Linked DNA regions of Caenorhabditis elegans. The protein of the gene in region 1 interacts with the protein of each later gene in a pairwise test. Each region holds a gene or a part of one and is shown on either strand. Other genes may lie near its edges. The genes, in order: nex-3 and ifb-1.

Region 1 (9,307 bases):
CGATGACTGTACAAGTTGAAGCAGCACTGGATGATTCATAAACTGATTCCGTTAAAATGAAATCTCCGGAAGTTGAAGCACTATCCGCGATACTTTGATTGTCGAACAAGAGCTGTCTTTCGAATGATGACTCGTTCAGAATTGTTGGATATTCTCCGGTGTCGGGCAGATTGTGATCCAAACTGATGGAATCGTTAATTAAGACAATGTTATTATCAGCAGCTGATAATTGACCGTTTGGATTGGTTCTTGCCAAAGCTCCGGAAACTTCGTAAGACAAATTGAGACTTCTGGATGGGTAATTCGTCGTTCTCGGATGCTCACGAACAGTTGAAGCCAGTTGCCGAACAACAAAAACAGGAACGTTTCTCTCCATCAAAACGCTGAAAGAAAAATAATTATCTCACAGATAATTCAAATAAAAATTACTAACAATTGAGCGTGGACCGTGAATTCTTGTGTCAGAGACATCGCTGCAGTGACACCATTCACATCGATAATCTTCTGCTCGAGGAGAGGACAGAGAAGCTCGTATCTGGAGGCGTTTTGAAATTTAACCGTAGTTCGAAGCTGAAAAGAAAAATGTTGTTATTAAAAGTTGAATAATATTCCATACCCATACGGAGCCATTCGTTATAAAATATGCTGGATCTTTTGGACTTTGAATAACGTGTTCAACGTGAATGGCATTCACAACGTCGTGACGGTTTCTCGGAACTCTGGAAATTCAATTATTAATAATGGATATCTCAGTTTTTACCTTACCTAACTCTGACCTTGTACGAATTCAGTAACAATTCCTCATTCTTCACATGTACACCATTAGCACAAAACAATACTCGGAATGGGATTGCAATGTAATCGATGCTCTGTTTGAAGCGATCAAACGAGTTACTTGACGGATCCAGAACTGCAAAATAAGTGCTCGTTTCATTGGAAATGTAGACGACTCGACAATCAACCATCTCGTCCTCTTCCTGAAATTAAAGCAATTAAAAATCACACAACAAGGAGCAGTATCAAGATTTAGTTGCTTTCATTTATCTTGGAGTCCTTTATATTATTTTTTCAAAGTATGTACCAGGCATAGATCCACAATCGTTGGCACGAAGGAGCCTTCTTCTTTCTGAAATTCCATTCGAAAATCGTAGAGATGACCGGCAGAAAGTTTATCACGGTACTGTTGTAAACCTCTGAACACTTTCCCGATATGTGGAACATTCATACTTGGAAAGTCTTGATTCTCCATCATACTGCGGCAGCTTGCATTCGCTTCAATCTGAAATATTTCAATTGTTTGACGAAACGAATGCTGGGTAACTCACGTATACTTTTCTGGTGATCTGATCAGTGATGACTTTCAGATTCGGCCATTCCGTTGAACGAAAACTGGAGAGTAACTCGTATGAGCAAGAGAAACCAAACGAATTTTCGGGGATACATCGTCTGAAGAAAATGATTTTATGATATTAACATACTTACCAATTACTCACTTTACGAGAATCACATGAACACTTCCGAGGGAAGGCATTGGAGTGTCAAGAGACGTGCTTGGTAAAATGGCGCATCCCATTTTCGGTGTCCAAAAAAGTGCTCCGTGATCATTTTCAGCGATAACGACTCCTTCCAAAACTCCATATACCATTGACTCGGCGATATAAGGCAAAGTCTGAAAAATCGGTTGTATATTTTGCTTTAAGGCTCTTAGCTCAACGTACGGTTTCTCTGTAGTAGAGCTCGAAAATGGGAGTAATTGGAAAATCAGCATAATATCTCCAATTGACAGTCACGCCGTTTTCAAAACTTATTGGCTCCCAGCATACGCCGATTCGATAAATAAAAGGAGTGTCGGTGTTTTGCAAATTTGATCTACTTGTGATTGAGGTTTGAAGCACACGAGTTGGAAGTACAATCTTTTGAAAGTCCGTATTCTCGTTCTCGATAATGCTGTAATCCATTCCATTTATTTTAAATGGATCTCTTTCTAGACATTCATTTGAGAAGTGCACAATAGCGAAGATCTGAAACAAGTTGATTGTAAAATGGTAAAATAATTCGATTTTCATACCACAACTTTGGAATTCACCACCGTTACATCACGAAACCATTCAAAACTGCCACATTGTGCGACAAGCTGAACATTTTAAATTGAGAAAGTTACTCATAATTAATATGATACCGATGGCAAAAAGCTGTTCGCGTGTTCAAATTTGGCTTTAACAGTTGCTCCTGGAGTCGGCGGAAAGTTAAACTTTTCCGAAGGAACGGTGATGCAACAATGATCACTGACAGATCCATCCAAGAATGCGACTCTCCACTGAAAATAATGATTTTACGAACTAATTAAAAATAATTAAAGAAAATACCTCAAACGAATCTCTGAGCTGATCAATCAAAACGCCGTATTTATAAAAATGCATTGTTTTGCGGTGATAATCATCGGCAAGTCACAGAAACTCGTAAATCTGAATTAAAAATGTTTTAAAGAAGTCCAAAGCAAATCTGAACACTTTACGCTGAAGATTTAACCGAATTTCACTATTTTCAAATTTAGAAATCACTTTTTAACAAAAAAATTAGCTAAATGAAAGCGAAAAATGGGAAAATCTCCGTTTGGACCGAGCAGGCATGCACTGGTGGCGTGGTGAGACCTGTGAACCGACATGCATGCACCTTTAAGTGTGACTGTAACCGGATTGAAATTTTCAGGCCTACAACGGTGGAATTAAAATTGTTGTGAAGACTTGTTCGTTTGGTGTAGACGATGATATGTCGAATTTTGAACTGTACAGAAATAAGCCATAAAACATTTTGATGCTAATTTCAAGTTTTTGCGAACCTAAGCAAATTCAAAGAAAAAAGGGCGGAGTTGGTCTGAAACTTCTCAGTTCTCACTTTCCAGCTGCTTCCAAAGTTTTTCCATGATATTTGGTCCTTTTGCCACTATATATGTAGTTTTTGACTATTTCCCCACAGGCGATACTCCTGCTTTAAAGAAAAATGTAATAATGACATTAAGTTTAAAAAATCCCAGATTTTGGTGATTTTTCCACTCTTGCTAAAATCTCCCATTGACAGTACTCCACCATCAAACAAGGACAAACTCAAGAAGTTTAAACAAACGATTCGAATGTCTATTTGTTTGAACTTTCTCCCAATTCTTTTTTTATTTACAAACACATTTCCTCATTCTTTCTTCCCATTTTTTATTATAGTTTTCGATGACTCTTTGCAGAAAAAAAAAACGAGAACTTTTGCTTGTTTAGTTAACATTTGAGATATTGAGACAGTTTGTTCTTCTATTTTTCAACATTTATATACGATATTTTTGAAGAATATTTTCTCTAAATTGATCTCAATTGTAATTCACAATAGAAGCCTATACATATCCTAACTAGCATCAATAATGTATAATTCCTTTTCAACCGTGACCATTTCAATTGAATTCGTTCCGAATATCCTCACTTTCTCTTTCAAAGTGTCTGCCAACCTTTTTGAAAAGACACGAAAATGATGATCTGTTCGCATTTGGGCAGGTATTTCACAAGTTTTTGCAATTTTATAGAACTTGGAATTTCAATATATCCGCAGAGCATTTATTTTGCGATTTTTGAGCAGAATTTTAAATAATAAGTTTTCATAATATTCTCAGACCTTTATATTTCTGTCAATTTTCGTGAATAATGTGATAGTGAAACATTCAAATTTCCTCACAAGTGTTCTGTAACAATATTCCCGAAAATTTTCGTGCAAGAATCTATTTTGCAAAAAAAAAAAATCAAAAGTCATATTAGGGGGACGCAAAAAACGCCTTTCGAAATCGAAAATCAATCTCGCCCCAACGCCAATTTTAAACGCTCCGCCCCTAAACATTGGGTCTCGTTAGGTAAAACCGTAAATTCAAGTTTTTTCCACTTTTCTGTTGCTTTTAATATTTCTTTTTAATTTTAAAATTAAGTTAAGAAGTGCATGATATAGTGACATGATATAGTGGGAAGAAAACGGTTTTTGATTCAATTTTAATTTTAATTTTTCATCATTTTTCACGCAAAATTCTAGAAAAATAACGAAAATGTTTGAATTTCCCAGAATACCTTAAAAAATACCAATGACAAATAATAAGCTATAATTTTTTTTGTAGCAAAATTGTTAAATTTTCTAATTGTCAAAGTTAGGAAAGTTTCCCCAAAAATTCTATTTAATTTCGAAATCAAAAGTATTTCAAAATTTCTTTTCTAAAATTCCACTGACTCATCATCACATCTCTTTTCTTTTCGAAGGTCTCTTTTTCGAAAAACCACTCCCTATTTTTGTGGACAATAAAAGTGTTCAGACAGTTTCAAATGACTCATCGCAGTTATTTCGTTCTCAATATATTTCTGCCTTATTTTCGAAGCATAACCAGTTATGAATCTCTTTCAATTTAATTTTATTTCCGTTTAAAAAGTAGGAATCAAAGATGAACTGACGTCAATTTTCCACTATTTTGCAGACTTCTTTTCAATGTTTCACAAATATTTACACTCATTGGTGGACGTAATACTTGAAACTTCCCTACGAAGAAAATAAATAAAAAATATTATCCAACTGCGAAATTACGAGAATCTTGAATTCTGCCAGCCTCATAGGGAGCTATTAGGCGTTTTAGGAAAATTAAAATATTTACTTTAAAAATCCTAAAAAAAATAAATCTGAAACGCTATCAATAAAGCATTCAGAAAGTACTGCACTTCCCACATTCTATAGATTTGCTCATAAAATTTGATGCATTGGCCGTGTTCACACATACTTGATACATCATATTTTACAAGCAAATTCGGTTCACTTTTTCTTTGTACTATATTGAACTGTCGTGTAATCCCTGATCCAAAAGTGCAAAATTCTTTACCACATTCAATTCTCCCATTATCCAAATACCTCAAAAAGTCTACCTGAAATATATACCTCAAAGTTCTAGAAAACCGACATAATGGCAACTGCAAAGATCCATTTCAAGCCGTATTTTGATGAGGTAAGCCTGTGGGAAACTAGTAAAGTTAAGCCGAAAATTGTAGGTTGCCGCCTCGGAGCAACTAGAGAAGGCTCTTAGAAACAAGGAGAAACTGAAGATTTTGGAAATCTTGGTTTCGGTTAATAATACACAGAGACAGATGGTAAGATTTTAATGGTAGGTAGGCATGCCTGCCTACTCACCTGCCTATGTCTAAAAGCTCCATATTTCCAGATCCGCACACCCTACAAAACTCGTTACGGAAAGGATTTGGAAGATGAAATCAAAAAAGCATTTTCTGGAGATTTCGAAGATTTTCTCGTTGCTCTACTTCAAACTCCTACTAAACTAGACGTGACTGAGCTGAATCGATCTGTGAAGGGTCTTGGAACAAATGAGAAAAATTTGATCGAAATTCTGACAACTAGGACTAACGAGGAAATTGAAGCGGCGAAGTTAGTTTTTAAAAAGTTTTTCGAAATTAGAAGCTTGAAGTCAAAACTAAATTTTACAACAACAGAAACAATTGGGAAGTAGGCATGGTATAGACATCAGGCGGGAACGTGAAAACACATAGGTAGGCAGCGATTTGGTGCAGAGTAGGCACTTAGGCAGGCATAAGGTAGGTCCGTGGGTAGACAAACATAACCCAGACAGCACTATGGTTATGAATAAGGCATAGGCAGACAGTCTTGATGTAGGTCCCGAAGCAAGGTATAACGTAGGCACGCAGAAAGGCGGAGATTTCAAAAGTATGAATCAGTCGTAATTCCTGTGCGTAGGCTTTTGAAAGCTAGTTAGGTCTCCCGAAAACGAACCCAATGATAATTTTAAAGTTGTTTTCTAGAAAATGTCCTTAAAAAAATTAATATCAACATATGTTTTTTCTAGAAACACTTACTTCATGACTTACTCCAAATCATTGGAAGATGCAATTTCTGCTGATACTTCTGGAGACTTCCGGCGTCTTCTCATTGTCATTCTCCAAGCAAAACGCGAAGAAGGTGGATTCGCTGATACATTCAAAGTTGGGCCTCACGCTGCTCAAATTCTGAAAAGTTTTGACAAAAAGTCTGGAGTCGAAAAATTCGATGCGTTCAAGATCTTTGCAACATGCAATGGAGCTCATATTCAAAAAGTTATTGAAGAAGTCGAGAGACAATCTGGAAAAGAGTTCCAGAAACTTATTGACAAGGAGCTCAGCGGAGATTTCAAGAATTTGGTGTTGTCTCTTATTGAGACTTCGAGAAATAAGCCTCGATATTTTGCAAATTCGATTCATTTGGCAACCAAGGTAGGTGCAAGATATTTGAAATCTTAGTTCAGAGAAATTTGACTTTAGGTAAATGACAAAAATTTCCTGATTTGATTTAAACATTTATCTTTTTGTTACATGTAGGAACTTTCACAAGTCTACACACATATCGTGCTTAACTTCCTACGTAGGCACGGAAGTAGGCACAGAAGTAAGCAATGTAGTAGGCACGCGTGTAGGCGTAAGGCTTTAGATAAAATTAATCAACTATGAAGATATAGGAAAAGAGTTAAACTAAAGCTGGTAACGCTAAAAACATTCTAGATAAAAACCCTCAAAGTTCAGGAAATATTCATGTTTTCAGGGAATGGGAACACGTGACAAGGATCTTATTCGTATTCTGGTATCCCGATCGGAAAATGATTTGGTGATCATTGAACACGAATTTCAAACTCTTTTTGGAAAACCATTGACTCAGGTGAGCCTATCAAGTAGACTGATATTACCTGCAACGTTTACGCCAAAATGTGTACTGAAAATAGAACAAAAAATATGTTGATATTTCCAAATACAGTTCAAAATACAAATTTCTATTTAAGATCCCCAGAGCGATGTTCGTAATATTTTCTATAGAAAACCATATTGGTTTCTCTTTATAAATTTCATAAAATTGCAGCTAATCAAGGAGGAGTGCAAGGCAGAATACCGTGATGGTTTGACGATGCTTGTCAAGGGAAATCCAAGACCTTAGAAAATGAAATACAAACTATCGATTAAAATGCTTTCTGTTTGAAATTGCTTTACATTGAAACTACTTTATAAAATCTATTTCTAAACGTTTTTATTTTAATAAAAGTTTGAAAAATGACAAGCGACAATTCCAAAAAGTGCTCACAAAGTTTTCTTGAAAATTAGCATTACATGTCCCACGTTCAATGCTGGTCAACATCCCATTATAAATTTCTTATGATTTTCGAGCAGCTGACATCTCCCGAGTCGGTTAGAACAGAACAGGACCTGAAGCAATTGTACCTCAAAACCCCGATTATTAATCGAAATATTTTTCTATAGAATTTCTGATTAGACTCATTTAAAAGTCTGTTAAACTAAATGCAGAAAAATATTTATTTCACTGTAGAACAATGTTTCAATTAATGTGCCAGTCCATAATTTTGGCCATTCTCTGTTTCATCACGAACTCTTGATCTTTTTAAGATTCTCCCCTTGAATCAAATTCAAAAATTTGTTATGTAGCAAAACTGCAGACTATAATTATCCATAAGGTCCCCTCCCGACGCCTTTTCCGTTTCCTTTTAGATTCCATTTCTTTTGTTCTTCATAGTGACCCTCACATGGATCGAAAATTGGCGTGTTCCTCGTTCATCGGCATTCGATTCCTATTCATTCAGGCTCTATTTTGCAATAATTCAAACCATCTCTCTATGTCTTGTCGGGGAAGAAGAGGTCATGGTGGGGTTGAATTTCCTCCCTTTTCCCACCGTAATTCAGGCGCCGTTCCGTCGATTCCGCCATTTCACCGCCGACACACACACGTTGAAATGATGGAAAAACCCCTTTTGATGAGAGGAACGGGCGGTATGTGAAAACAGACTGATGAGTGATTTATTGAGAAAATGTCAATGAAATTTAGTGTTGAAATTTTGGAATTTGTGACAGGCAGGCAGGATCCTGGCGCCTACCTGCCTGCCTGTCGTGTCTTGTCGGCGTTTTTTTTCAACATAAAAGTTAGAGTTTAAAATTTTAAAAATCGCAAAAATTGAAAATTTTTAAGCGTTAAAATTATAACTTTAGTTTAAACAACTTTAGACGAAAAATTCAAATTTTTAACTTTTCAAAAAACATTTTTGTTCGGGAATTTCAAAGTGTTAATTTTTAGAAAATTATTTGGCATAAAAAATTTATAATAAAATTGTTTAAAGAATCATGATTTAAAAAAAGCTAGCATTTGAACAAAAAAAACAATTTCTAAATATTTTTCCCTACAATACATCTACCGTACCACTATCATATCTACAGTAAAATATCAAATCCGCTGCTAACTTTAAGAAAAACTCTTTATATTTGCAAAATAGTATGAAGATTTTAATTTTTTATTCACTAAAAGTACAATTTACAGTAAAAAAGATAGTATATCAATATGATAGGAATCTAATTATAAATAAAAAAGACGGGCACCCGGTTGGCCGTTGGATTAAAATGAAAAGACGAAAAAAACTGGAATCGGTGAAATTGAGTTGAAGACATGAGGAAGGGAAAGAAAGTTTTAAAGAAATGAGGAAAAGCACACAGGTTGAAGGGAGTTTTAAAGAAGATCGGTAGAGATCTGAACAGTTAAAGTAAGTTTTTTTTTCAGAAGTAAGTATTCAGAAAGTAAACTGGCTCTGATCTCAAGGAATCGCGCCAAAAATCTAGTTTTCCGCGATTTCTAGAGATCAAACGGGACCTTCTGAATACATCATTTATTTGATAGAATCATTCAATTCAGCTGGGATTTCATTTTAATTGAATTTAAAATGTTACATTAAATTTAAATTTTTAAAAAATTGAATGAAAATCTCAAACAAATGTCTAAAATGATAATAAAGTCTTCTACACCTGAAAATGAGGGTTTTGGAAGGCATTTGAAAATGTAAAAATGAGCAGACTATCGCCGAATCTTGCAGGGGCACTAATATGGTGTAGCCGATGAGGTCAGATGATGCGGTGATTTATATGTTGGGTTGGTAGAGCTGCAAAATTTTCAGATTATGGAAAAGTTTTACTTTATTATTGTGTGCCTACTTGCCTGCCTACGTGCCTACCGCCTATTTTTTTTACTGCAAGTCGCATTGTAGGTAGAGAAGCAGGCGGCTTTGTATTTTGTAAAAATTAGACAGAGAATTGCAAAGCTCAGAAGAACCAAGTTTTTCTTTACGGTTCTGTTTCAAAATTATCTTCAAGTTAGTTGCAAAATGACTAAATACTGGCTCCACCCAAGAGTGTATTCAGAATTTGTTTCCAATTTTTCTATTTAAAAAAAATTATCGGGGTTTTCCGAGAAA
Region 2 (12,401 bases), on another chromosome or scaffold:
CTCACTATCAGAAACTCGCCACACCTTCTCAAGAAAGGCTAGAAGCTTTTAACCAAGTTTAGCCAACTTTCGGTAGTTTTTCAGTGCTCATTTTTGGGATCATCCAAAATTTAACCAGCTTTACCTAACTTTTGCAACTTTTGCGATAACTTGCTAAAGTTGGTTGAAACGTTGCGACATACTGTCGAGTTATAGGCGATTAAGCAAAGAGCAGTTTATCCAGTTTTTTTCGATTTAAAACTATTTGATTACCGTATATTTTCAACATTCCTAAATATAGTGCCTTGTTATACACCCACTTGATTATTACCAAATTACTCAATGTTTTCTCACAGTCTCTTATTTTTTCTTTTCCTTCTACTACTATCTCTGGATATATCTGTTTCATTTGATCCTACAGTAACCCCTCTTTCCCCGACACCCTCTTCACAAAGGGTGGAGCTTCTTCCGGTTGGTGGTCCGCGCGAGCACTGATCGAAGAGCAAAAGGGGTGGGACTTGAGCATTCCTTTTGGGAACCATTACCTCTCATTCTGATATTATAACATTTCACCTTATTCACAACAAAATATTTTAAACAGAATGCCTGTTTCTCCGTCGTCAGTATCTGTGCTACCGCCAACTAGCCTCGAACAGATTCTTCGAATTCGTGCAGAGAGGAATCAAAGGACTCCGAAATGCGCGAGATGTCGGAATCACGGAACTACTTCTGCATTGAAAGGTTCGTATTTTAATATTCCATCAAAACAATTAACCATATTCATCAGTCTCATAGAATAAAAAATAAAAACCGAGATTCAAGCTGTCAAATTAAGCAAGACTACCAGAAAAATCATTTTGTTTAATCCTTAATCGAAGTACAAAATTTTTTTCAAGTGCATGTAATAGTTCCAGTAAAGCTTACTTCAAAATATAAGGGGACAATAACACTCGATGCTCCGGCTTCTGTTAAAACCATAAAATAAGTTGCTCTATAAGAACTTTCAATTTTTGGAAACACATCACCGATCTTGCCATCTTTGCGTGATTTGTGCTCTCGTGGAAAATCTAGAATTTAAATGTAATATTCCATAAACTTTCCAGGTCACAAACGTTACTGTCAATGGAAGGATTGTATGTGTGCAAAGTGCACATTAATTGCCGAAAGACAACGAGTTATGGCTGCTCAGGTTGCTCTTCGTCGTCAGCAATCTCAGGAAGAAAGAGACGCAAGAGATTTGGAAGTACTTCTGGGTTCTGCTGGAAATGGTAAGTCAGCTTATTTAAATATTCGGGGATTAAGCTGTGGAATGCTGGTGCTGAATCAGTGCATGTGTTTTTCCCGATCAAGTATTTCCGGTCATTTTTCATTCAAGTTGTGTCTTGAACAAGCTTCCCGCTGTGCTCGAGGTGCTAGACTAACTATTGGGTAACCTGACACTAATATGACCTATACTTGTTACAATACTAATAGTTCATTAGGGTCATCTTTGTATGCTCACACACCTTCTACAATGACACATTGTTCTCTTTTTTTATAGAATAACACGCTAACTTTTTATTTAATTTCTATTTTTTAGCGAATGATCTCCTCGATATTCTTCGTCTCGATGCCGGTGAACATCACGGGAAAAACCACGCTTCTCCGACGACCAACAACAATAATAATACTGGTGAGTCGACATGACAGCCTGTTCGAGACAGAGAAATGAGAGTGCGCTCTCTTCTTCCCGCAGTAATGTGAAGGCTACGGAGCGCCGCGTCGAATGGCCAGCACGATGGCCGAGTGGTTAAGGCGTTGGACTTAAGTTCCAATGGTGGATAACACCTCGTGGGTTCGAACCCCACTCGTGCTAAACTTTTTGCGTATTCGGAAACAGGTGCACTTTTACCCCATCTCCATAATCCCCGTACCTGGTTGCGTAAGTCAATTAGCTAGAGAGCACTGTAAGCTTTACGAGAAGCAGATGCATTTGAGAGGGATAAGCTATTCACAATATTGATGGGATTAATCTAGATTAGCACTTTACAAGTCAATTGCTCTCATTTAAAAGATTAACCTTAACTAACCTTGCACTACCTTTCAGAAGAAAAATACGAAGACTCACAGGGACAACGGAGTTCACCAAGCTCTCCAACAGGTTCTGAAACTGTTGTAAGCACTTCTTCCCCACCTGAGCTCTCATCTGAATCAACACCAAATACCAGTGGCTCAGTGATTCCAACAAGTCCAGTTTTCAAACCAAATGGATACTCTTCAATGCCAATGTTCAATCCTGTGTATGGAAGACCATTCATGAGATTTCCGAGTAAGAGAGCTTATTCAATATTATTTCGTAAATTAAACTTATTTTCAGTGTTTTCAGTGATGCCGCATTTCTTCGGAACTCCATCAATGTCAGATTTCGCATCTGCTGCGAGCCTCGCAGCTCCACCAGCGTTCTTCTCAGCCCAGCCAACAATTGCCACGTCATCACCGAGCACAATTTTCCCACAAACTGCTCCATTGGATTACAGTCATCGTTTAATGAAAAATGAGGAAGCCGAAGAAGAATACCGAGAAAATGATAAAACATTTTGAGAAATTGAATATTTTTTCTTATCGTCAGAATCAGAGTTCCAATACTTTGTATATTTTTATATGGTCACATTTAAAATTGTATTTATGATTTGTCTTCAATTAAAAAAAACTAAACTGAATAAAAAATCTTATTAAAATTGAAAAAGAAGTAGAAAACATTGAATAGAAAGATTTTTCGGTGGAAAATGAGCGGGGGGAAACACTTGAAGTTTGAACGGGAAAAGCAGTGTATTATGAAAAGAATTGCAAACGTTTTTGTTCTTTTTTTGATGTTTTTTAAAATGAATTTCAGATTAGCGATTTTAAGTGAAGAGTCTTAAGCAAATCAATTCAATATTTTGGTCAGTTTTAGGCAGTTTCAATGAATCAATTTAAAGAAAAAATGTCGAGAAGGTCTATCATCAAGAATAATAAGAAAATTATGGACAGAAACTAGAGAACTTGAGTGATTTTGGGGAGTTGTTTAAAAGAGAAAAAGTTGTTTAAAAATAATGAGAGCTTATTGTCCGGATTGGATGGTCTTCTGGGTGTGTGTTGCACGCTCCTCTCCATCCTTGTTCACCAATGACGTCACAACATTGGCTCCGATTCCCCAGGTGTTCTCTCCATCGAAGACAAGAGACTCTGGTGGGTTGTTGATGCCTCCTTGGTCACGGGCGTAGATCTGGAAATTTATTGGAATTGGAATATTCTCTTTTCGAAATTATGTAGATTAGTTTCTCAGCAAATGCGAGAAACCCTTAGACTAACCCGAAACGATTAAATTTCATAATGAGACCTCTCAGAAAATGTTTCCAAATTTCTTATGGTGGCTCAAAACTTGGGGAAAACATTTTCAAATTTCTAAAACCTGTAACTCTGATAAAGAGCATTAGAGAAATAACAACTGATTTTCCGATATTGCTACATGGACAATCTCACAAAATTTCAGATTTTAGCAAAATTTGGCCATTCCCTTTCAAAATTTTTTTTTTGGAAATTTTCAGGTGAAAGTACGTTTTTAACGGGCTTCAGACTATGTTGGCTGGGTTTCTCAAAAATATAGTGGCAGACTAAAAAAATACTAAGAATATTTACATAGCTACACACTTTTTTCTAAAACAATGATAAAAATAACTTACGGTCAAGTTCTTTCCTGGCTTGATAACAACATTGGCTGGAATGGAATAGACAATTTCGCGTCTTCCATCCAACTTTCTTCTGATTTTGTGCTCACCAACATTCTCATCCTGAAATAAAATTTTCAACATTTCAAAACCAAAAAGCTTCAACATACCTTGTTTCTGTGCGAGTTCTCAAGCTTGATGAACTTTCCATTTGGATCACACTCGGAAATTGTCACATTTCCCTTGGCGGATCTTTGGAAGGTGGTCTTGGTGGATACCTCACCGCGAACTGATCTTGTCGAATCAGTGTTTTCTTGTTGTTGGAGAGAATGCGTCTTGACGGCTTGCTCAACCATTTGGGTGAGTCCGACTCTGCAAATATATTTTTGAAACTTTTGAGAAAGGTTTTAGAACAAAATGATAACAAAACTGCCCAAAATTTGGCTTGCTGGGAATATTGATTAAATAACGATAATAATTACCTGGTCTCTTCTCCCTCGAGCATTTTTCTGTAGATGGCAATTTCGGCGTCAAGCATTTGCTTGGTATCCAAAAGAGCTTGAAGCTCAGCAACCAATGTTTGGCATTCCTCACGCATTCTTCTCAATGTAGCATCTCTGTCGTTGAGGGCAGCTTCGTATTGTCTTTGATCGTCGGTCAATTGGTAGTTCAAGTTCTGAACTTCCTTCTCCAAAAGTGAGTTCTTGTTCTCCAAATCTCCCAATTTTCCGCGGAGATCTCCAATGTTGTCTCTCATTCTCTTGACCTCATCCCTCTGGTAGGTGGACTCCATATTGGCACGGTTGGCAGATCCTTGAACCTCGGAAACCTTGAGCTTGTACCAGGACTCCATGTCTTGCTTTCCTTGCTTGGCAATGATATCATACTCATCTTTGATATCACGGATGGCAAGAGCCAATTCGTTTTTGAAGAACTCTCTGGTGTCAGCTGGAGCCTGAGCAAGGAGAGCTTGAAGTTCCTTAACCTCTTGTTCGTGAACTCTTCTCAAGAATTCGAGCTCCTCCATCAAAGTCTGCACTTGATTTTGGAAGTCAATTCTGCCAATGGTCTCATCATCAAGATCGCTTCTGGCCTTCTGAAGTTCTTCCCAGATTCTCGAGTTGTCAGCTGTAACACGCTTCTCCTCATCTGTCAATTGCTTGAAACGAGCACGGAGCATCTCAACTTCGGATTGAGCATCAGCGATAGCATTGGTCCATTGGGAGATCTTCTCGCGATCGGACTCACGGCGTTGCTGGATATCTTCGTATCTGAATAAATATTGATAAGCAACAGAAAATTAAGAATAAATAAACCTGGATCTGTACTCAGCCAAGTCGTCACGGTGTCTGGCAACTTTCACATCAACCTCTGCCTTTCTACGAGCAGCATCGTCAATGTCCTTACGAGCTGTTGAGAGGGATTCGGAGTATTTGATCTGAAATTAACAATTTGAATAGGAAAGAAGCTTTAAGAAGTTTGTTCCAAAATATAGGTTGAAATTTTAAAAAAACACTGGACAGGAAGCGCACAGATTTTCTTCTGGTAAGTTGAAGATTTTAAGGATGTTTGAGAGAATTCTCTAATATAGTAAATAAAATCTTGAAAGTTTCGAATATATATCTAAATAGAAATTACTGATTCACAATCAAATAATAAATGTTTTTTCTACAACTACTTCAGTTTTTTGCTTGCAGAAGCTTGCTTAAAATTTATTTGAAATTCACTAAAATACCTTAATCTCGGATGTGTCTTTTCCCCATTTTCCGCGAAGCTCATCCAAATCAGCAACCAATTTACGGTTCTGCTCTTCGAGTTTCTTGACACGATCAATGTAATTTCCGAGACGATCATTGAGTCCCTGCAGTGTCTTCTTTTCCTTATCAGTCGCCTCAAGGAACGATTTTGCTGCGTTTGCGGACAAGGCCGGTGAAATTCCTCCGACTGTAGCTGATCCCATCTCTGTCACCATCTTTAGCACGCGTCCTGAACGTTTTTATAATGATAATTAGGAGATTAGATTTGATTTGAGTGTTTTTATATTTCTATTGGGAATTTATATTTCGATATTCTTCTATTCTTACCTCCTGACATTGGTGCCTGTGGCGCTGATTCAGCCTCCATTTCTGATGTGTTTTAGCTTGAAATTTTAAAGTTTTTCTAGAAGATTAAGGGAAAAAAAATAATGAGGAACAAGTTCGAAAATTTCTGAATGAAAAATGAAAAACAAATGGTATAGAAACTAAATGTAAGTGTCACAAACACTATGCAAAATAACGGAAACCGTCGACCAATTCTGACCCTCTTCTGAATACTCCACCCAACGAAGAAATAGCATTAAATTTGTGGAGAACTTAGAGAAAAAGAATGAAGGTGTGTCAATGGTTTTGCCTTCCCGATCATCACCGATGATAGAAAATGGAGAAAGAGAAGAAGATATAATGGTGATAAGTTGAAGACAACGGACATGTACACATACGTACAGATTGCGAGTTGACTGTGCCTATGAATGAATGGATAAATTGGAAGAAAAGTGGAAAGAGATCAAGACACTACTTACTTAGAAATTGAAGATGAAGAATACGTCAAGGTTGTTGTGGGCGGAGTCAACTAAAGATAATCATCTTGATCAGATCTCAATCATTCATTTTTGTTATCTTTTTTAAATTGCGGGGAAGCTAATTAATTTAACTAGGATTCCATTTTTGACATTTTTTGGTAAGGGAGATATTTTTGTTTCAGAAACTAAATCTAATGGTAGGAAGGCTTATTTTTAGGCCAACGTACCTGTTTTATTTTTGTCAATTTGATAGAAATTCAATTAAGAAAAACATCATTTCCAGTCCTCAAAAATGTTTTTAAGTTTAAGAATCTTGAAACACGGGCCGCAAAAATTGACTTATCTCAAGTTAGAACAAAATTGGTTAAAAAATTAGTTTTGACAACTTAAATGTAAGATGGGACATTTCTAATTGAAAAAAAAAACTCTACACCATCTTGCAATAAATCGGAGAAATCCGAGATTCTATCCGAGAAGATCTCATAAATCAAGTGATAATCAGTATAATAAGTTCTTGTCACTGTTCCACCCAATTCTCACTCATTAAAACTAAATGACTAATCACACATAAAAAATGGGTGTTTTCCATGTCTCAGTTTCTCATCATTCAAAATAGTCACATCTTGGGTGTGGTCATTCCTTCCTTTCTCACCTATTTCTCATCTATTTCGTAACTGTATTCTAAATTAAAAGTTATTCAGGGGATTCTTTTAATTTTAATTCGTTACCCAAAAAAAAACAAAATTAAAATAAATGATGAATAAAATCAATAAAAGCTCGGATTTCTTCAAAGTCCGTCAAGTTTTCAAGTGTGTTGAGCAGTCAGCCGGCTGGCGGAAAGTGTGCCCAAGAAACAACAAACTAAACATTTTGTTGACTTAATCGGCTCAATGTATCTTTTTATACATGTTATCTCAACTGGTTACGAAAATTGAAATATTGTATTTAAAACTGTCTGAAATTTTGGTGCCTCTTTCAATCTGTTATTTGCTTTTTGCATTTTATTTCCAAAAATGTTGCCATTTTTATGTATATGCATAGTTGAAGACTATTTGCCTAACAACTCTTTCTGTCATGCACTATAAACTTGATGGAACTTGAACTTTTAAATTCAATAGATTTTTGGTTTGAAAATGAAGGGCGTTCCTCAGTGATTATGCTAATTGTGAGACTGTATCGAGAGACGAGAAAACCCAGAGATTTATGGGATTTTTTGGATGAGAAAAAGTGGATTTAATGACGGTTGAATAGGAAACGATATGGGCTGCCGGAAAAAAATCTTGTGGTCTTATATTTTGATCTTGATCTCCAGATTTGCTTAAAACAATAAAAAAGAACAATTTTTCTTTTGTTATGGTAATGCCTGCCTATTTTCTATTTTCACAGTGAGTTAACTTGCTCAAAGAACAACTAAAAATTACAAACATAAAAGATAACTTGTGTTTAGGCAGCAGATACGTGCGTAGGCTTACGGCAAGTTATAAGAAGCTAATACTATGTAGTAAGTTTACGTACCTAAATCTCTGACTTAACAAACAATTTTCAATTTCAAATTTTTACTGTTAAAAACTGTTTTTAGCTTTTAATTAAATATATTTCGACTGCAGTTTTTGAAGTTTTAATTATCCTGACATTTTATGCTAAAATTGCCAATTTCAAATTTTCCCCATTTTTGCCTCAAAACTCCAAAAATATTAATATTTGTTTAATTTTTGAGGAATTCCCCCATTTATTCACAGAAATTTCACTTCATAAAAACCTGTTTCTAGATTTTTGTTAAACTATGAAAAAGTGTGGTTTCTTGCCAAGTGAGCAAATATTAAGAAAACTCATTAAATTAAAAATTGCATTTAAAGGCATAAAGTATTACTTTTTATCTTTTAACTTTTATAATTTCGAAAATAATTGATTTTAAGTGATATTTTTAAGCAGAAGATTTTGGATCAACTCCGAGTAGAAAAAATGTAAAATCCCTGCTCAAAATATTATCCTCTACCAAACTGTTCACCTTTCTCAAAAACGTTTCGTTTAGCCAAGAACAAATCAACGCGTTCGCACTGATAACGACTCTTGCTCTCTTTTTCTCGTTTTTATATTTTCTTTTCATCCTCCAGGTCTATATTTCCATCCTCATTTCTATTGTATAGCACAGCAAAAACCAATATTTACTTCATCTTCCAATTGATTAATAAAACCACCCAAACTATTTTTTTGCAATCGGATGAACGAGAGAGAGAGAGAGAGAATAAAGTGTTCGGTTCGATTGATGCGACTGTTCACTAATTCGCTTTGAATTCAAATACATAATTATGGATGGGTAGTAGACGGATAAACATGTAAACAGAGAAATAGAGAAAGAAAGGAAAAAAGAATATTGGAATATTGGTTCAGTTAATAGTTGATCGGATGTATAGTGTCAACTTGAATTAAGGTCATCTATAAGACCGGTCCAGGAGAAAAATAGCTTGAAGGTTTACTACTTTTGAAAAAATAAAAGTATATTCTGAAACTCTCAATCTAACAGGAAAGTATAGAAAATACGTTGGAAATTGAGTGATCTCTGAAGCTTAGACTTCAGTAGGAAATTTTTTTAAAAGATATATAACTATCCGGATTTCAAATCAAGAATTTGAAACAAGAAATGCTCCTGGTATTGATGATTATTTTCAGAGGAAAGGATATAGTAATAGCTGAAATTTTTTTTAATCTTTACCGTTTTCAACTTTAAATTTTTTTAAAATCTAACTAACCTCCGGATCCTGCTCCATTTCCACCAGACACGTAGTTTCCAGACTGACGTGATTGAGAGCGAACCGCTGTTCTTGGCTGGATGGTGGATCTGTATTGCATCTCGTACTCGGAAGATTCCTTGTGAGACGACATCTTCTTTCAGAAGTTTGACGCTACCTGAAATTTTTTTTTTGAAAATATAGAAGCTGAATTGGGAAAATACAGAAAACTGAGCAAAAAGTAACAATTACAAATTTTAATAAAAAGTGTTAAACCTTAAAACAACAATATGATAAAAAAAAATGTTTCTGCATCCTTCGGCATCCAATTTGTTCCTTATCAAAACCCAAATAAGCGTGGCCGGTTTTCAACAAACATACACACTCATATATATGTTCAACATTTTTTTGAGTACACTCCACAAAAAAACAGAAAACAAATAAGGTGGAGGAGGAGTGACTGAACACGCCCATTTTTGTTCATGGAAATCAGAATTGAATATGGGTGGAAGGACATGATGGTGAGTCAACGTTAACCTGTCAAACAAATTGAAACACCCAAGCACATTCCGGAGAATTGTTAGATGGAAGAACAATAGAGATTGAATTTCTCGCGCATTGTGCAGGGAAATTTGCAAGAATTGGGTGGAAAATGACGAGAAAATGATGGAAGTTAAATGATTTTATTCATGATTTTTTTAAAAGATTATCTTGATTTTTTTTTATTTCTGCAGACTACAGTAAATGCTTCTTATAATTGTTTTTTTCGAGCAACGTGAAATGATCGCAAAATAATAAAAACCTTCTAGGTAGGCACGAAACCTACTAGAATTCACAGGAAAAATAGGATGCAACCAAGTACGAAAGCCGGCAAAAAGGAATGATTTCATGCCTATCTCCTTTAAAGACTTAATTGTTCAGATCTGAAAAACTTTCTAAAAAAAGTGGGACAGCGAAATTTATGTTGCATTTTGTTTCGTAAAGTTTTCAACTTTTATGAATGATTTTGAAAATGAATTGCTGTTTTTTTTTTAATTTTAGTATTCATATTTTCATACCTAAAGCTTGTTGACTCAAACTTAAAATCATAATAAAACTAGCAAAAGATGTGAAGAAACATGTGGGTGTTCAGTGAGTCATAAAGTTGGAAATTTATTGAGTAATTGTATGACCAAGTTCTAATTGACACTACTTGAAATCCTAAACCATTCGGTTACTCATTCACGATAGTTTAGAAAGCTTAAAGTAACTTTGGGGTGGAGTGAATAAAAGTAGAAAAAGACACAGTGCTCCTGCTCTGCTCGGAGTAAAAAAGTGAAGCGAAAAAAATGAAATCGGAAAGACACACACACACAAGCATTCCTACAGAATACCGAAAGGGTATTGTGAGGACGGTCTGTTGCGCCGGGGGTCGATGAGGCAGAGGCCCTGAGAAGCGCCCCCACCAATTGCTCCGCCCCCATTTTGTTGCCGAACCGTCGAAAAACGAGCTGCTATTTGCGTTCCTCCTTCTTTTTTCTCTCTGCGCGCTTCACTTTTTGAAATGATGCGCTTGGCGTATAGGCGTATTCCGAGAGAATTTAGAAGAGATGACGACTACTTTTACCTCATAGGAAGTGGCCGATTATCACAGTCAAGGACAAGAGAGAAATGATTTGAAATGGAAAAATGAGGAGATGTTAGTGAGGGAATTGGAAGAGGGGGAGAATAAGACATTGTTAACATTTTGTTTTCATTTATGGGTGAGAATGATGACAAGATTGGAGGTACAAGTGATCAAATAGTTCTACGAAAATGTTCCGTGCTGGCTAAGGTTTTGCATTTTTAATGTTGGGCTGTGGTAAAAAAATTAAGAACTCATTGTCAGTAAACAAGTTTTGTAAACATTGAAACCTGTAAAAAAATAGTTTAAAATTATCGCCGTCCAGTACTAAAGCTGAGGCATACCGTATTTTCCCTACAAAGTCTGCACCACAATTACTCTACTTTGACGGCCTATTTTCCAATTGTCTCAAGTGTTATCAAAAAATTCTCTACAACCAAAATATAGAGACATATTTGGTACATATTTGGTAGTTGACAATTTATTGATAAAATTTAAAGCAACCGAGATATATTCTGCCAAAGTAGAACCAGAAGATACAAGTCTAATAGGAAGAATACGGTAAGTTGAGGCCAATTTCTAATCTCGAGGCAAATGTGAAAACTAGCATGCACAAATATGCCTACCCGCCTATCTACAGGTACGACTCTGCTTGCAAGAGAGATAGGCAAGGAGGTAGGTAGGAAGGTAAGTAAGTCTACTGGTAGGCGGGTAGGCATCATGCGCTCATTTAGCATTGAAAAATTATAGCCGATATGATAGCTTTCTTCCCGGCTAAGTGGGTAGGTCTCAATGCGCCTGTATGCAGGCGGGTGAGCTTTTTGAATGAATAGAAGGCTACATAACGTTGACCCATCTAATAATACAATAACGAACAAATTTTGAAATTCAGAAAGGAATAAATCCAATTTCAATTAATCATCTACAGACTCTACAGACTAGGAACTATCGCTCTTGTTGTTCTGCCTTTTTTTTACTGATTTTTTTTGGTGCAGTTTGAACCTCTACCAATTAATACTATGAGTCTACTGGTTTTCAATAGATGGTTTCGATGAAAAAAAGAAAGAGAAAAATGAAACTGATGGATTAGGCATAGTTCTCAGTTTTATGTCGTCTTACGGGTGGGGTTTTGTATTTTTGTTTTTATGAACTATTTGAATTTTGCAAATGAGGAAATAGTTTAGATGTTTAAAAAACAAATAAATTAAAATAACGATTTCTCGAAGGATGTGTTATGGAAGACACGAGGGGCTAAACCTTGAAAAAAGCAAATTGAAGTCAAAAGTGATGGGGGCGTTTTACGGTTGGTCGACGTCCTCCTCCTCATTCTTCTTCTCCGCTTTTCTCCTTTTTTCTTGCGTTTCAACTGGATTCGATTCTTCGTTTTTTTTCTTCTTTTCTACCGTCCTCACCCGAAGTCTAACCATTTTCCTATTCAGAAACGGGACGACGCCCAATTTTCGTCGATACTCCGCAGATTCGGAGCGAAGAGGAATCGGAACGAGGAAAACGGGCAAAAACAGATGGAGAAGAGGAATAAGGAGGAAAAAACCACGAAGGATGATAATTGGGTTTGAAATGAATAGGAGGCGGGCAGAGGTGAAAGAAATTTGTATAGAATTGGGTTTTGAACACTTACAGACACCGTTCATGACGTTATAAAAGTACTTTAGTAGTGATGAGTAGTCATGAAAAACTGTAAAGGGAATATTCGAGCTACAAAATATTTATATTTACAGTAGAAGAAATTTGAGCCGAAAACTGTACAAAAAGGAATTAAGCCTCATTGCGTGTCTACTGTTCAGATTAAGATCCCGGTGACTGTATAATTTTTCAATGTTTTA

Evidence for each region.
Region 2: the proteins of nex-3 (region 1) and ifb-1 interact in a two-hybrid assay, tested with the Caenorhabditis elegans proteins (one large-scale study listed by BioGRID).

Annotation. Positions count from the first base shown.
Region 1 is NC_003281.10:4,437,124-4,446,430, forward strand, and holds nex-3 (Annexin), read left to right. Parts: upstream 1-4,957; 5' UTR 4,958-4,969; coding exon 4,970-5,011; intron 5,012-5,054; coding exon 5,055-5,153; intron 5,154-5,224; coding exon 5,225-5,445; intron 5,446-5,881; coding exon 5,882-6,284; intron 6,285-6,609; coding exon 6,610-6,723; intron 6,724-6,921; coding exon 6,922-6,996; 3' UTR 6,997-7,114; downstream 7,115-9,307. Other genes in the region: C28A5.2 (REJ domain-containing protein), read right to left, coding at 1-383, 434-570, 617-719, 766-977, 1,082-1,279, 1,326-1,446, 1,494-1,669, 1,719-2,021 and 3 more.
Region 2 is NC_003280.10:5,762,349-5,774,749, reverse strand, and holds ifb-1 (Intermediate filament protein ifb-1), read right to left. Parts: upstream 9,133-12,401; 5' UTR 9,109-9,132; coding exon 8,976-9,108; intron 6,529-8,975; exon of another isoform or gene 6,405-6,528; intron 5,806-6,404; exon of another isoform or gene 5,790-5,805; coding exon of another isoform or gene 5,750-5,789; intron 5,652-5,749; coding exon 5,401-5,651; intron 5,104-5,400; coding exon 4,982-5,103; intron 4,937-4,981; coding exon 4,148-4,936; intron 4,038-4,147; coding exon 3,836-4,037; intron 3,789-3,835; coding exon 3,681-3,788; intron 3,224-3,680; coding exon 3,059-3,223; 3' UTR 2,666-3,058; downstream 1-2,665. Other genes in the region: F10C1.1 (uncharacterized protein), read right to left, coding at 330-521; Doublesex- and mab-3-related transcription factor dmd-5, read left to right, coding at 582-720, 1,083-1,247, 1,559-1,651, 2,066-2,287, 2,336-2,559. UniProt on the Caenorhabditis elegans protein: Cytoplasmic intermediate filaments provide mechanical strength to cells. Essential protein, involved in attachment structures in epidermal cells that connect muscles to the external cuticle. Required in morphogenesis and epidermal integrity.